Oryzias latipes: one gene and its partners. The protein of the gene in region 1 purifies or fractionates together with the protein of each later gene. This does not show direct contact. Links are inferred from orthologs where the notes say so. Each region holds a gene or a part of one and is shown in the gene's direction. Other genes may lie near its edges. The genes, in order: fam96a, ireb2 and narfl.

What was found.
Region 2: the proteins of fam96a (region 1) and ireb2 purify together in Homo sapiens (affinity purification with mass spectrometry; 3 studies listed by BioGRID and IntAct, with this or other methods). This does not show direct contact. The link is inferred for Oryzias latipes from reciprocal best matches to the Homo sapiens genes CIAO2A and IREB2.
Region 3: the proteins of fam96a (region 1) and narfl purify together in Homo sapiens (affinity purification with mass spectrometry; 4 studies listed by BioGRID and IntAct, with this or other methods). This does not show direct contact. The link is inferred for Oryzias latipes from reciprocal best matches to the Homo sapiens genes CIAO2A and CIAO3.

Annotation. Positions count from the first base shown.
Region 1 is NC_019864.2:1,197,066-1,202,304, forward strand, and holds the end of fam96a (MIP18 family protein FAM96A), read left to right. Parts: intron 1-1,214; coding exon 1,215-1,264; intron 1,265-3,204; coding exon 3,205-3,250; intron 3,251-3,387; coding exon 3,388-3,488; 3' UTR 3,489-4,347; downstream 4,348-5,239. UniProt on the Homo sapiens protein: Component of the cytosolic iron-sulfur protein assembly (CIA) complex, a multiprotein complex that mediates the incorporation of iron-sulfur cluster into extramitochondrial Fe/S proteins.
Region 2 is NC_019864.2:10,478,568-10,483,806, forward strand, and holds part of ireb2 (iron-responsive element-binding protein 2), read left to right. Parts: intron 1-1,812; coding exon 1,813-1,984; intron 1,985-2,081; coding exon 2,082-2,182; intron 2,183-2,324; coding exon 2,325-2,441; intron 2,442-2,527; coding exon 2,528-2,687; intron 2,688-3,658; coding exon 3,659-3,794; intron 3,795-4,357; coding exon 4,358-4,442; intron 4,443-4,533; coding exon 4,534-4,690; intron 4,691-5,239. UniProt on the Homo sapiens protein: RNA-binding protein that binds to iron-responsive elements (IRES), which are stem-loop structures found in the 5'-UTR of ferritin, and delta aminolevulinic acid synthase mRNAs, and in the 3'-UTR of transferrin receptor mRNA.
Region 3 is NC_019866.2:12,256,473-12,262,168, forward strand, and holds the start of narfl (cytosolic Fe-S cluster assembly factor NARFL), read left to right. Parts: upstream 1-2,339; 5' UTR 2,340-2,397; coding exon 2,398-2,463; intron 2,464-3,209; coding exon 3,210-3,305; intron 3,306-3,438; coding exon 3,439-3,582; intron 3,583-3,654; coding exon 3,655-3,781; intron 3,782-3,868; coding exon 3,869-4,003; intron 4,004-4,602; coding exon 4,603-4,721; intron 4,722-4,795; coding exon 4,796-4,925; intron 4,926-5,003; coding exon 5,004-5,076; intron 5,077-5,148; coding exon 5,149-5,286; intron 5,287-5,371; coding exon 5,372-5,529; intron 5,530-5,622; coding exon 5,623-5,696. Other genes in the region: transcription factor E4F1, read right to left, coding at 735-853, 1,107-1,203.

The DNA of each region.
Region 1 (5,239 bases):
TTTAACTTAATGTGTGTTCAGAGAATAAGTCATGTTTTTTGCAGTTTGGCCAGGGGTGCGACTTATACTGTGGAGTGACTTATTTTCTGATTAAAAAAAAAACTAATATATTTGTCATTTTCCCACTAAGAACAACTAGAGGGCTCAGTAAAGGGGTTTATTGGTAATTCCTACTGACAGCAACACAGAAGAAGCTCTGCTCAGTCCAGTCATCCATTCAGGCTTTCTTCAGTGGCTGTCGTGGTGCAAAGTTAGAGCGGTCGACCTCTGATTGGAAGATTGGATTGCTGGCACAACACTGAACTCCCCATTGCTCCTGGTGGTTATAGGTAGTGCCATCAGTATATGAATGGGACTGTGACTGTAAATCACTATGGACCTTCTAAGAAGGTACTAAAGCGCTATACAAGTATACACCATTTACCTTTTTTTCTTGACTATTAAACATACTACATAGCATATAATACATAGGTGTAAGGCCCTGAATCCCGGAAAAGACATTTAGATTAGGTTTGGTCGTTGTAGCTACAAAGTCATTCTGCTTCTAAATGGACGTGGGTCAGGGTGTTGGGTCTGCCGCCGTGAACAGGCTGGTTCTGGTCAGTGATTGTGATCACTGGAGCCAAGCAGCTGCAGTTGTAAACAGCCTGTACCACAAACAGATAAGGACTATGCTCAGGAATGCAGACTCACAGCAGGGGTGATTCATTAGAAATCATTGTATATAATCAGAGCGGTCCTAATGAGCACAAAAATACATTGTTGGATTGAACTAATAACACTTTCAAAAAGTTCCAGCTGCTATACTGAACATACATGTTTGTCACACATTTTTATTGTAAGGAAAACCATATTCTTAACTAATTATAAGATCATTATAAAAATGATATTATTTAGCATGTCAAATCATCGTGTGAGGCTGAAAGCTCTGTTGGAAAAGACACTTTCGAGGCTTCAGTTAGTTTCTATAACATACATTTAATATTGGGTTTTTGTTGATCTGTTGTTATGGTTAATCCCTAAATCTGAGCTTCCCTGATGATGACATTCTCGTGTCTGTGTGACAAATTCAGACTTGTCCTAGTTAGAACAGGTCAATTTTTTTTCTTATGTTTCCAGCTTAAACTCTGCCTATACAGCTTCGGCTAAGTTGGGCCTCTTTCTTGGAATAAGCTCCAGTGTCGGTTGTCTTCTGAACCTTGCTATGTTTGCAGGTTTGTGCCTACAAGTGAAGCTGCAGCGCTGTTTGCCTTTCAAACACAAGGTGAGCCTTCCTGTTGTCCAGCTGCACGCTGCCCCACACATGCATCTTCCTTCCTGCATTCACTGCGCATGCTTACAGAAAAACAGATGCAAACTTAACCACTTCAAGTGGAGCTCATCACTTTGTAATGGATGTGCTGTTTAGATGAACACAGTTCTTCATTGTTTGGCTCAATCTGTGAAAGGCTGAGTCTTAAACCACTTTCCACCCAAAGTCATGATCTGTATTTAGTTTTCGTGTGTGAATGGAAGAGAGTCCACTTTTGCACAGGTTATTTGGTGGCAAAAAGCATCAGTCTTGACAGCACGCTTAGCCAGCACAGGCTGTTCATTCCGTTGTACTATCCAGAAATATGCCAGGGTTTTAGAAGTAAACTCTGCCTACAGAGACCTGTCTGTGGGATTCTCTGTTAGGTTCTCCTGGTCAGATCCTGAAACCAAAGTAGGCACAGCAGTAAATGGGTTACGTATCCAGTCATGTGAGCCGTCAAGTCTCCTGGAGGTGACTACGTTACTGCGCCGCCAGCCCCAGATGTGTGTTAGTTAGTCTGAGGCGACATGCTCTCTCTAGGTTCAAGGCTCTGCATTCAACTCTTCACTCATCCCTTTCCACAGGATCATCACTGGCCGTGCTAGTTGCTGCCTATAGACTCATCAGTGCTAGCAAACCGATTTGATAAATACGTTTTTTAACCTATGAGGTCATGGTAAGAATGTCTTCAGCTGAGAGCTGACTGGTTGTCGAAGCTGGAGTTGGATGTTTTTTTTTTAATATCCAATTGTCCAATTCAGCATTGCTCTGAGAAAACTTAGTCACGTGCCAATCAAACATTTTAAACCGAATTACAATTTCTGATTGTTTCTCTTTCTCCTCTGATATACCCCCATGGCTTTTTGTGTACCCCAAGATTGCACTTACTGTAGTTTAAGAACTGCTGCTCCAGAGGTCACCACGTTAGCTTCAACACCTGAACATAAGTATATTTGGAAAATAGGAACTCCTGGTTCTGGTTCTAAAAGCAGTGAGTAGGCAGATAAGGGAAGTTAGTGTCTCATAGGGCTGCACGATATGAGGAAAACTTGCGATATGGGATATTAGTGATCAATATTGCGATAACGATAAATTTGCGGTAAATAAACAAATAGAAAAATAAACAAAAACATCATTCCCATTTCATTGCAACAGTTTAAAAATTATACTCCAAATGACCCTCATCGACATGGGGGACAAACGTCAGGGTGGCTAACCCTGGTCCTCAAGAGCCTCAACCCTGTTTTCCAATTCTCCCTAGACCAGAGGTGGGCACTGAGGGCCGCATTCCTGCATGTTTTCCAGCATACCCTGCTCTGGCATGTTCTAATTGGCTGGACACACCTGAACCAGGTAATAAGCCATGAGTAGGGAAAGGCTATCTTGAAATCATGCAGACACACCGGTCCTCGAGGCCTGGAATTGCCCACCCCTGCCCTAGACTGCTCGATAATGATAACCAAAATCAGGTGTGTTCAGTCAATCAGGATGTGAAATCACTTGAGTCAGCCAATCAACAGCAAGCTGGTTAAGGAGAGCTGGAAAACAGGCAGGGTTGAGGCTCTTCAGGACCAGGGTTAACATAATAGGCCTCCATCTGATTGGTCAACAATGGGAAGGCGTCCATCTGATTGGTCAAAGCATAAAGGGATTTATTTGATTCGTTAAATGCTTCAAGCTGCTAGAAGATTGTTTTAACACATTTTGGGTTTGCGATTTGTTGCGATATTCGCCATCTTTTGCGATATGCATATTGCAGAGCTGGATATTGCGATAACGATAAATTTGCGGTATATTGTGCAGGCCTAGTGTCTCATCTCTCTATCATCAGTACCAGTTTGTCTCTAGACCTTCACCTCTTTTCCTTCAGCGTAAACTGAAATTTTCTGTTGTCTGTCTTTTGTTTCAAGCTGGAAATTTACCTTTCAGAAGGAACCCATTCTACAGAGGAAGACAGTAAGTTTCTCTGCTGTCATGAAACTTCCCTCCATCAGGACACATGCATGTCTGTCTCATGTTCCCTGTTTTGATTTGTCACGAGCTTGGATGCTTTCATGCAACTTTTTGTCATTTCTATATTTTTCTGTGACCAGTAAACAAACAAATCAATGATAAGGAGCGAGTGGCCGCCGCTATGGAGAACCCCAACCTTCGAGAGATCGTGGAGCAGTGCGTGACGGAACCAGACGACTGAGCCTCAGTGTGTGTTTGTGCGTGATTGAATTGTCCATTTGAGCAAAGGACAGGATCAGGTTGGACCTTTTTGACCCAGAAGGAAAACAACTGTCCCTTTTTCCTTTTTTTTTTCTCATGCCGCAAGAGGGAAAATGATGAAAATGTTTTTGCGGAGAGAAACTTAAACTGATGCTTGAGAAGTTCTGATTTTCTTAAAAATGATTTGTACTTTTAGATGTTTTAAATGAATTAAAGCTGTTGCGTGTCAGTCTTTGTCTGAGGGGGTGGGGGGGCTAAAGGACATTTAAAAACAAAAGTAACTAAAGGCACATTCTATTCCCAGGGTCTTTTCCCAAAAAGCTAACTCAATAGAAATCCTGACCAAATTCAAGATGAGCTGTTTCACAAACTGGAAAAAGTCTGAGTTTGGTTTTGACTCCTCCCACTTGAGAGTCACACTTTCATCCCCACATAAAAACTGACGTGAGGCTGAGAGTGAATCATTTTTAGAGTTTCTAACAAACACTTTGCTATTCTTTTGTAAAAATAAGCCGTTGGTTTAGGAACAGAAAATGAATGCAGTTCTATGTTAGAAAAAAGTGATCTGCACTTATTGTTACTCTTCAATCTTATTGTCATATGCTCCGCACACTACAGATGCTGTTGGACACACTGAATGTTAATTACAAATCTGGGAGCCAAAATCTTTAAATGTGCAAACTTGACCACATCATTAGTTCATTATGGTATGCACATATTGATTTTTCTGTTCATCTTTGTGTCTTTTTTAGGGGAAGTTTTCCTCTAAGGGAAAAATGTCACATTTTGTTTATTGTACACACAAAATATTTGGAATAAAGTTTATGGCAATAGATTAATTGATTACAAATCCACCTCTGATTATTAGTTTCATTGTCTGTAGTAATATGGTATATACAGTGCTCAGCACTGTATATACCATATTACAATACAGTGTATTTTAGAATGAATGCTTGGATAGAAGTTCAAAATTCAACAAATGATCAAACAACTACCGCCCTGCCCCCCCATGTTTAACTGTGGATCCATACTGAAAATAGGGTTTAAAACTCTGGCAAGGTCCTATCTCATCACACATCGTGCAGTAGCTTTTGAGACTGTCAGACAGTCTCTACTGATGCCTGCATCTTCACTGTCTGTGACATGACAAGAATCAAAACCATTCCAAGGTTTTTGGGTTGGCCACAGGGACAAACATAGTTTTACAAAAACAGGCTTTAAATTGTAAGATGGCTACGTTTTAGTTTCTTTTTCTACGAGCTTTCTTAGCTCAGGTGACTTAATTATCTGCCTGCCATGAACAAAACGTAGATATTTGCTATTGTTTTGGTGGAAAATCCCACAAAATAAGATTTTGTGGACTAATCTTTATTTTGATACCATTTCTAGCAAAATATATAAACCCTTTTATACCGACGGCAATCATCAACTCTTCCTCCATTTGATTTTGGACTCCAGCCGCTAATAAGATCAACACGAAAATACCAAAGCGTAGTTCCTGATCTAGTGACCCAATGCAAAACTTCAGATATTTGAACTCTGGAAACAATGTGCTGTGCAGCCAAGTTTCTGTCACAGAGTGCAAATAGCTGAACTTTGGTGAAGCTTTGCATTGGGTCACCTGATGGAAGAGGAGATGATTGCAGTTTGTGGTTCTCCTGAACTTAATGATATTGTAATTGTATGGAGACCATACTGAAAAGGGTCTTGTTTTGTCTGCAGCTCCTCCCT
Region 2 (5,239 bases), about 9.3 Mb from region 1:
TTTCTTTTTTTATTTTGTAAAGCGTTTTTTTTTTTTAAAACGTATTAAGATTTATATATGTTTCTTTTATCTATTATGTAGTTGATTTATTTTGTATGTATCTATATGTTTATTATTTTCAACAAAGAATATAATTTAATTTTTAAAAACAGTTTTTTAACTGTCCTTTATTGTTTTGTATTAAGCCTCAATATTTTTTTGATTGAAAACATTTAGAAAGATTGTTTTTAAATGTAAAATATATTAAATTATAAAAATATCAATTAAAATGGACACTAACAGGCTCAGAATGTAAACAAGCTGAACAAAACCTTTGACAAAACTAAAGTCTTGCAGCATAAATCCACACATGGTACGGTCTTTTCTTTTCTTTAGACATTGCATTTTTATTTGGGAGTCCCAAAAAGAAAGACTAAGGATCCAGATCCAGGTTCAGTGTTTTTACATGTTTTATTAATTTAGTCATTTATATTTAGTCTTTCTTTTTTTATGTATATATTATGTAGAATGTATGTAATATATATATTATATTTGTATATAACTTTAAATTATTTTATTAATTTAACTTATTTCATCAAAATATACATTTTAATTTAATTGTAGTGATAATTACTTGTCATCACTCATGTTGAAAACGTGTTTTTCTAACCAAACAAAAGCATTTTCTAAAGTTTAAATTATCCATTGTTTCATTAAGCACAAATAAACCAGTTGGACTTTGAGCGTATGAATGACATTTTTTACTGATTCACTGTTTGAGCACTTCCACTTCTAATCATTTAGCATAATGAGATTATATATTAAATAACTCTCGGCTACGTAAACAGGCATTCCTGATAACGGGAGAAACCCATGTGATGCTTTTTGTAGCACTTTAACTCTTTAGGCTCGTTTAAAGGCGTGCAGAAGTTAACGCTGTATTCTAATGTTCTTGATCCCTAAAAAATAACCCCTTCTTTCTTTTCCCATTCTGTGAACTTTTTCCCCAACTCTCTGCATGTTTGGGAATAATCAAACACAGGCTCTTTATGTTGTTGATGGGAAAATATCCACTTCTTCCTTCATGACGTCTCCTGCTGCTGACGGTGTATTATTTAGAAAATGCTCCGAAACACGGGAATCCCAATATTCCTGTTCTTTCTGAACGTATAATTATGTCATTAAGGATATGACCCCACAGACTGAATGCTCTCTATTAGGTAAACTTAGTCACTGGTGTTGAGCTCCCTCAGCTTAAAGCACCAACAACAAAGTCAGTCAGCTGATTGAAACAGAACAGGACGTGGACTGCAGCAGGGGTTTTTCAACCTTTTTGGAGCCCAAGTACACTGTTTTCCTCGACAAAAATCCAGCAACCAAAAAAAAAAAAAGAGAGAAACTCTATGGTCTGTATTGATGTCCGGTCTGTCCACCATCTTGGTAGCATTTTTTGTAATAATTGAGGCAAAAATATTTTGAAGTTGCAGCTGTTTTTCCTAAAAGTTGCGATAATTTTCAATAATAACTTCTAACTTGAAAATAGTTGTTTTTCCTCTAGAGGAACTAGAGGAAAAACCTGTGGAATTATAAAAGTTCCAGTTCAAATCGGACTTTTACCACACAGTTGTAGTAAATAAATTTCTCATTCGTTCTGCTCCTTAGCTTCTTGTGAACAATGAAACGTTCCAGCGCAAAGAACTTTGTTTTTCTCCTTCCCACCTAACAAAAAAAAGGAAAACGATTCCTCTATTTCTGCAGGAGTTCTTCATATTTGGAATCATCCAGACCTTTCCTGAACACTGTGTTAACGTTTCTTTTGCACTGCTTTCTCAGCACTTGCGGCAGGCTGGCATCGCTGGGAGGTTCGTTGAGTTCTTCGGACCCGGAGTCTCCCAGCTGTCGGCTCCTGACCGGACCACCATCGCCAACATGTGCCCGGAGTACAACGCCACCGTCAGCTTCTTCCCCATCGACCGAGTCACACTCAAGCACTTTAAAAAGACAAGTGAGCCGCTCAGCGTTTAGCTGTAAAACCCGGACGCTTTGTGCTCAGTCTGTTGGGTCTCGGTGATTAAAGCTGTTGTTGGAACTCGCTGTTGCAGATTTCAGCCATGAAAAACTTGAATTGATGGAGTCTTACGTGAAGGCAGTCAAACTTTTCCGAAGCTATGAAGAACCTCCGGAAGACGTCCAGTATTCCGAGGTAAACTCCCCAAAATCTGCTCCTCCGTATCTAAACACTTTTCTTTCATGTTCCATCGTTCCTACATGGCTGCTGTTCTCCGGAGCGTTTGGCGCACCTCTTTCCACAACGAACTGATAGAAAAGCATTGATGCCTTTGCAGGTTATCGAGATCAACCTGAGCTCCATGGTGCCCCACGTCAGTGGCCCCAAAAGGCCCCAAGACAGGGTGGCGGTCAGTAACATGAAGGCAGACTTTCAGAGTTGTCTGGAAGAGAAGGTGAGCTGCAAAAGAACGCACACGGGGGGTTTAGTCAGGCCGAAGCGCCGCCTTTGACTCCTCACAAACGTCTCTCTCCATCCCAGGTGGGCTTTAAAGGTTTCCACATTTCCAAGGAGAAGCAGGAGACTCGGGTCCCCTTCCTGCACTGCGGTCAGGAGTACCAGCTGGTGCACGGCTCGGTGGTCATCGCCGCCGTCATCAGCTGCACCAATAACTGCAATCCGTCTGTCATGCTGACTGCAGGTGGGGGCCTGACTGACGCCATGAAGCGCTTTAGAAGTGATTGATTTACTGCTAGAAAATAAAAAAAAGCTTACAAACTGGTTCATAAAAAGCCACTGATGTCAGTGGTGGAGGAGAAGTAAAATAAGGAGCGACTCTACGTTCACACTGAACAAGATTTGCTAGCTTGTCTAAAAGTCTTTGTAAAGCTTTCTCTCCTGCTGTGTGTGTGTGGAGCTACCGTCAAAAACGTTTGGCTTTATCTCTGCATAATGGAAGACATAAATGATGTTTAGAGTTCACGTTTATTTGTTTTCAGGGGCTCTACAAAAGCCTCTGTAATCACGTCTCCATGTCTGGGTTCATGAGATTCTCTCAGTGCGGTGAGCTTCACCAAAGTCTGCTGCAGGAGCTGCGTCTGAATGTCAGCCGCTTTCAGCGGTACCTCCGTCTCTCTGTGAACCAGTTAACGACCTCCTGTCCCACATTAGTCCAAGGAGGGAAATAATAATAAATAAGAAAAGTATGATAAAGTTCAGGGGGAGAAGGTTCAGAGTTTTCGCCCGAGTCCAGATATTTGAACTCTAGAACCATCGGGATGTGTAGCAAAATCTTTAGCCTGAAACACGCTGCTGCTGCAGCATGTCTGACACTCAAAACCTCCAATCGCATTTGACCGGTGACTCCTTGCATTCGGTGTGAACGCAGCTATAGAAGACAAACTGATGATAAGATCGAGACAATCTTGTTTGAAAACCTCTTGTCTTCGTTCAGCCAGTAAGGGATCCTTTCAAGGCAGAATCTCCACTTCAGTAGAAAAGCATGTAGGATTTGATTTTTATGCCAAGTACTTTTATTTCAGCTGTTTAGGCTTGTTTTACTGATTGCAAACAAAAACATTTTTTAGCCTCTTTTATGCCTCATGCTCCTCTGTGCTGCCCATTCTCGCCTACAGACCATTTTATTGATTTAATTCTCGTCTTATTTTGCAGGTCTTCTGGCCAAAAAGGCCGTGGAAGCCGGCCTCACTGTCAAGCCTTACATCCGGACCAGTCTGGCTCCTGGAAGTGGGATGGTCACTCACTACCTCAACAGCAGCGGCGTTCTGCCTTACTTCAGTCAGCTGGGGTAAAACCACTGGAAACCACTGCTCTGGACCTGCTGGAAGTCAATGTTTTAGAGATTTTCTGTCCTCTGATGTCACTCCACTTCTACCAAGTTTAAAACAGATTCTATTCCATCTGATAGTTGCATAAAATCTGTTTTTTCCCCCTGTAATCTGACTGAACAAAAGCTATGTTTCTCAACCTGAAACTGGAAAAAAGGTGCTCTCTATCGCTGATTGTATGTTTGGATCCTTTAATTCTTTTTTCAGTGATATGATTATGTTTTCTCTCAGAGAGATAAGAGATGAAGAAACTTTATTAATCCTGAAGGAAATTAAAAAGCGGCCAGCTGCTTCCATTCAACACACACAATAAAAAAAATAAAGCCATAAAAGCCATCAATATTAAAAGCCATTAGTTTAAAATAGTAAAATATTTCAAATCTATGATAAATCCATAAAACTTCAAATTCAACGTTTGTTGCTCACTGGGGGAGTTTTTCCAGTAAACTTTCAGATTTGGTCTTTTTATTTTTTCAAGTTGTCTGGACTTATTTCACTAACGTTGGTGTTTATATCTCCACAGGTTTCAGGTGATCGGTTACGGCTGTGCCACCTGCGTTGGAAACACAGCACCGTTACCGGACGCCGTCGTGGACGCCATCAAACAGGTAGTTTTCCACCATCTGTGATCCTCCTCTGTGCTTTTTTTCTATTTGCTTGTTTGTTTTAACCCATTAATAATGAACGTCTTCATTTCAGGGGGATCTGGTGACCTGCGGTCTGTTGTCCGGCAACAGGCACTTTGAAGGACGCCTGTGCGACTGCGTGCGTGCCAACTACCTGGCCTCCCCTCCCCTGGTGGTGGCTTACGCCATTGCGGGCACTGTGGGAATCGACTTTGAGAAGGAGCCGTTAGGTAAGGGCGGGGATCTGCGTGTGAGGATCATGGGAGGATTTTGGTGCTTAAATCACAGTGAATGGGCTTTTTGTGGTGATTCAGTGTGCTGCACACACACACGTTTATGCAGAAATGACTGTTTTCTGCTCTGTTGTGCGTCTGAACGCCTCAAATCATCCAGCCGGCGCCAGCTGTACAAGTTATTTAAGAAACATGACCCGATGTTTGAAGCCACTCAAAAAAAAAGCTTTTTTAGACACTCAAGTTGATCAAAATCTGCCTTCTTCACACTTTTTCATCTGATTCAACAATCTCCCTCGCTGTCTTTTAGGTGTTGAGGAGAAAAGTAAAGTTTTGGTTTTAGGATGATCCTTCCAGGTTGGGTAATCTCCGACTTTGCTGAAAAAGAACGTTGCCAGCAATTTCTGCAAACTGAGCCTTTTGTGTTTAATCCTTAAAAAGACATTTTGTAAAACTTGACCTCATCTTTAACACCTCATGACAGCTGACCTTGTTTTTTGGTTTTTGATAAGGATGCTGGTCCTCTTGTCCTGCTGATGGACAAAA
Region 3 (5,696 bases), on another chromosome or scaffold:
CAGTGCAGAAGTTTTCCAGATTCTTCGTATTTCTTCTAAGATAATTAAAGGTAAATTACATATGTGTACAAAAAAACAATTAAACAAGTATTACTGGCAAATCCATTCACATTTTAGTTTTATAAAGTTCTTTCCATTGTTGTTTTTCTGCATTGAAATGATACAGAGGGATTAGAACACACTGTATGGGTGTATGTCTTCGCAAATTTAAGTATTTCCACACATTAGACTGAATGATGGCTTAATCATTTTTTTGCTGCCATTACGACCAAATGGTATTTTCCAATGTCGATTATGATCTGTTTATTTCATTTAGAAATTATTCTATAATTTCTAAATGAAATAAACAGATCATATATACATATATACATATAGGTATAGGTCGATTTGATCAACAAATGGCCTCAGATACTAGATTGATCTGGTTGGATCGTAGAATTAGAAATCAATTAATGAATTAAATGTTACACCCCCAATGAAAAACATAATACTGACTGACTATCAGAAATTTAATTGTTCAATTTGGATTTATCAGTTTACAATTCTATAAACAATTCAGATAAATGGCTTACAGATTTTTTTCTTATTTGTCCTTCCAAAAGAAAGGGATGGAATGTAAACATAAGAATATCGATTCAGGAATTTCTCAATCATTTCAACATTTTCTGAGTGAAGATTATAGACTCAAGTTGATTCATCAATACTTTAAACATAGTTCCAGATTTAGCACATACCTCTTGATTAGCAGTGTGGTCAGTCTCCACCCGTTTACAGTCGTTATGTAACTTGTGCTGGATAAATGCTTCAAGCGTGGAAAATTCGGATTGACAGCGTCCACACTTGTGTACATCGTCTAAAAACACAAAGACGAAGCATATTTAGCTACCATTAGCTTAAAAAACTATCTAGCACCAAAAAGCTATCACCTGCTTATCTGGGCATCTTTTAAAAAGGCCGCTGACAACTCAAACCTGCAGCAAAGCCGTAAACTAGATGTTGCTAAAGACGAATTAGCAACAATTTCGCGATGGAGGAAGTTAGCAAGGCCCAAACTACGGACAAAAAACCCTGATTTTGGGAGTGTTTTGAACTGGCTGAAAACTAACCTTCATCTCCAAGGGTGGTTTGAATGGTGATAGTCTCACTGCCGTTCGTCGTTCGCTCCTTCTCTGTTTCTGCCGTATGATTATTTTCTGCATTCATGTCGTTTGACTTCTCCGTCTCTGTCGCAACGCTGTGCTGGGGAGGGAAAACATGGCGGATTTACGACCCTGTAGTCATAACAACAAAAGAGCGCATGCACTCGCATGCAGAAGATAAAATAATAAACGAAACATTTAACCACAAAAATAAAAAGGCATTCAAAAAACGATACATTTGTTATTATTATTATTATTTATTTTTTATTATTTTTTTGTTGAAAGAAAACGTGATAAAATCGTTAAAGCTGTCGTCATTTATATTTGGATTTTTACTTATATTTCATTTGTATTTTTGAAAAAATATTACTCTATAAATGTTCCAATAGCGATAGTAAAAATATTGGCATTTATATTGACAATGCACATTTTACTACATAGAGATGCAGTATGTCAAACACACAACCATCATCACGAATAAAATGTCACCTCTTAGTGTAAACCACAAAGATTTTCTATTTAAAAAACATTCCATTTTTAAAATTACTCTTGAATTATTTAAGACTCTTCAAATTACTGTATGATATATTTTAGGATGAGCATCTGACATCTTTTTGTCAAGATTCTCTCAAGGCACTTCACAAAAAGCAAACTGAATGAAGCAATGTTGTTTTATTCAGACTTTCCCCTAAAGTTGTACTAGATTGTTCAGTATAGGTTGTTACAATCTGACCAAAATTCCTTTGTTGTATTTATATTTTGTCCCTAATTAAGTGACCAACATATTCTAATACAGGTTCTTTTGTGTGTTCCACTTGACATATAACTAATAAAATGCAAACTTTAAAAAAAAAAATATTACATCTACAGAAGAAACTGTGCAAATACAAACAATTAGCACAATCAAGTTAAAAGTTGTTCTAACTAATAGAAAAAATCTTTTGACAAATTACAAAGATATAATCCATTTGCAAATCTGCAAATTAAATTACACAAAAAAGCCTTTGTGATTTGTGAATACGATTTGAATAGATACAACATAAAACAACCCAAGTATTTACCAGATACTGTGGTAAAAAAAATGTATTTACTTATTTTATCTTAGTTGACAAATGTTGCACATACAGAACATGCATGGCAAACCCATTGACTGTATGAGAGAATGGGGCAAACTATTACTATTAGTGGAGCCTGAACGTGCTCTTCCAGACCAGCATTTCACGACACAAGAGTAAACAACGGGTTTGCGGCAGTAACTATGGCCTCTGTCTTCAGCGGTGTACTGCAACTGACAGATCTGGACGATTTTATCACCCCTTCCCAGGTCAGTGTCAAAAATAATACTTAAGTTTATTCTAGAAGGACATTACAAGCAGAGGAGTTTCGCTTATTTCCCAATCAAAATGCTAAAAGCTCAGTTCGCTCTTAGGGAGCTAAGCTAGCATGCTCTGGTGGTGGTAGTTGCTCTTGTAAGTGCTGTTCCTGGAAGAAGAAACCAAAACAAACAGATTCTAGTTAGCCTTTACGTTAGTAAACATGTAGTGTTCGTTTCTAGTTTTTACATATATTACTTTCGTCTAAAATTACAATTCATTGGCAGCAAAAATAACGAATCGGTTAGCTTTTGTTTTGCTAATGGTAACACAGATGTCAAAACATGGAAAGAAGTTGCAGTATTGATCGGACTTTCAAACAGACAAAAGTCAAAACACATGGATAAAACATGTCTTTACTTCATGTATTCGTCATTCATCCTGTTGCCACTGACTTTTGTTTTGAGCTCCTGTAACCCCAGATGCTTGAATGATGCCCCTGTATCCCCTCCAAACTTATGACTTCTCAAGACGAAAATAACACTTAAAGGCCTTGTTTTCTCCACCTACATTTGGTCAATGATAAACTATTACTAATTCAATGTGATCAAATCTAAGCTCTCTGATCATTCTGACTTTTGTGGTGTAAATTTGCTTACAGTTCTCCCATCCCATTTTTGCATGTTGACAGAAACTACGTATCAGGTTCAACGGTTGTTTACCTTTTTGTTTTTTTCATATCTGTGTTTTTCGTTAGGAATGTGTCAAACCAATAAAAGTCGAGAAGAAACAAGGCAAATCTGTGGCCAGAATACAGATAGAGGATGATGGTAGTTATGTCCAAGTCAACCAGGTGAGGATTCACACTTATTTTTGCCTTTTAGTCTGAGGTATTTGAATCATGAATGGACTTCATAGAGCAGACTGTCAGAGTACCAAATGCAATAATTTAGTATCATGCTCATGGAAGTGTCTTGTGTTGAAAGGATGGCGGGAAGGAGAAGCTGGAAAAAGCAAAGATCTCACTGAACGACTGCTTGGCGTGCAGCGGTTGCATCACCTCAGCTGAGAGTGTCCTCATCACTCAGCAGAGCCCCGAGGAGCTTTTAAAAGTGCTTCGGAACAACAAGGTAGAGTGTTTTGCTCAGTTTGTCTACTTATGGTTGGGTTTGTGTTCCGCTTAAGTCTTCGTTCCCCCACAGGGTGCAGCAGAGCAGAAGACTGTGGTGGTGTCCGTGTCCCCGCAGTCCAGAGCGTCCCTCGCTGCACACTTTGGTATCAGCAGCAGTGAGGCAGGAAGGAGGCTCACCTCTTTCCTCAAAAACCTGGGTAACGTTTCCCTCTTTTAATGTTTCATAAATCAAGTTGAAGCAGTGGCTGTGTACGTGTCTGAAAGATGGTCGCTTTTTTTTACAGGGGTTCACTATGTGTTTGACACCAGCTTTAGTCGGACCTTCAGTCTGCTGGAAAGTCAGAGAGAGTTTGTGGAACGTTTCCAGAGGAAGGGACAGGACAACAAGGCTCTGCCCATGTTAACCTCCGCCTGTCCAGGTACGGACATAGAGCTCCATGATAGAAAATAGAAGCCAAAACTTCACAACTTCTTTGAAAGCTTTTAGCTTGATTTGAATGTGGAACGGAAACCACATTTGTGTATTTATTTTGTTTTTGAAGGCCTTCTATTTCGTATTTTATATATTTATCAAAGCCTAATAGTGAATGTTCATGACATTATCTTTAGCTCCAAAAGCTTAGACAGAGTTTTCAATCGGAATCTCAGTATCACCACTTTGTTTCAGGTCCTTGACGTTTTTTAAGGGTATCAGTTTACGCTCTTCTTTTCTCTGAAAACGTCTCTGAAAGGTTGAGGTCAGGACTTTTGCTGAGCTGTTGTAGCAGCTCAACCCCCCCCACCCCCCACCCCACCATGCTGTTAATGATTTGCTAGGGTGTTTGGGATTGACTCACATTTGACTTTGCGATGTTTGACCGTCCAGTTCATGACTGAAGCTGTGACAGCAGCTCTCATTAAAACTAAAAAAAGACAATTAGCACAACTTTTCTATAGGCTTTGGTTAGGAATGAAATAGTTGGTGCATCAAACGCTTTGAACTCCATTCAGACCAAAGTGTGCGTTTATGTGTGTTCAGGTTGGATCTGCTATGCAGAGAAGACACACGGGGAGTATATTCTCCCATATATCAGCACCACCCGCTCCCCCCAGCAGATGATGGGGTCTCTGGTTAAAAGCCACTTTGCAGAAAAGCAGGTGGGGTTTGGATTTCTCCGTTCTGTAAATATTTCAATAAAGACTAACTGAGCTGGATCTGTTTGTGCTGTTAGGGGCTGAGTCCTCAGCAGATTTACCATGTGGCTGTGATGCCCTGCTTCGACAAGAAACTCGAAGCGTCACGCTCAGATTTTTTTATGAACAAAGCGGAGACCAGAGAAGTGGATTGTGTCATAACGTCTGGTACAGTAATTACCCTTATAAGTAATACTTAGGTGCATATGCAGCATCCACATGGTTATTTGTCTGTCCTCTCTTCAGGAGAGGTTCAGAAAATGCTGGAGGAACATCATATTTCTCTGAATGATGTTGAGCCTGGAACTCTTGATTCGATGTAAGTTCCCTCTTTTTTTAAGAAAACTTTATCTCTCAAAACTCTTCTGATGCTGCCTATTTTTACCCTCAGGTTCAGCAGCGTCTGTGGGGATGAGCTCCTGAGCCACGCTGGCAGTGGATCCGGAGGTTACCTCCATCACGTCTTCACCTATGCTGCTAAGCAGCTCTTTGGAGAAGAAGTAAAGGAGCTCACCTACAAAACTCTAAGGTTTGCTCACCTATATAAATTGTGTCTTTTTACAAAAAAAACAAAAAGTTGCTTTTCTCATCTTCACTCTTGTTCGATGGCCCAGGAACAAAGACTTCCAGGAGGTGAGACTGGAGAAAGATGGGGAAGTTCTGCTGTGCTTTGCTGCAACATACGGATTTCGCAACATTCAGAACCTTGTGCAGAAACTGAAAAGGGGAAAATCCCTGTACCATTTTGTAGAAGTTATGGCCTGTCCATCAGGTATGATTTTTTTATAGTTGGAATAGATTAAAAAAAAAAAATTCTAACTTTGATGCAGATACGATACTTTTATCCTTCTTTTTATTCTCCCAGGCTGCCTTAACGGAGGCGGACAGATAAAGGCAGCCGCTGGTCAGAACCAGAAAGAGCTGCTTCAAAAAGTTGAG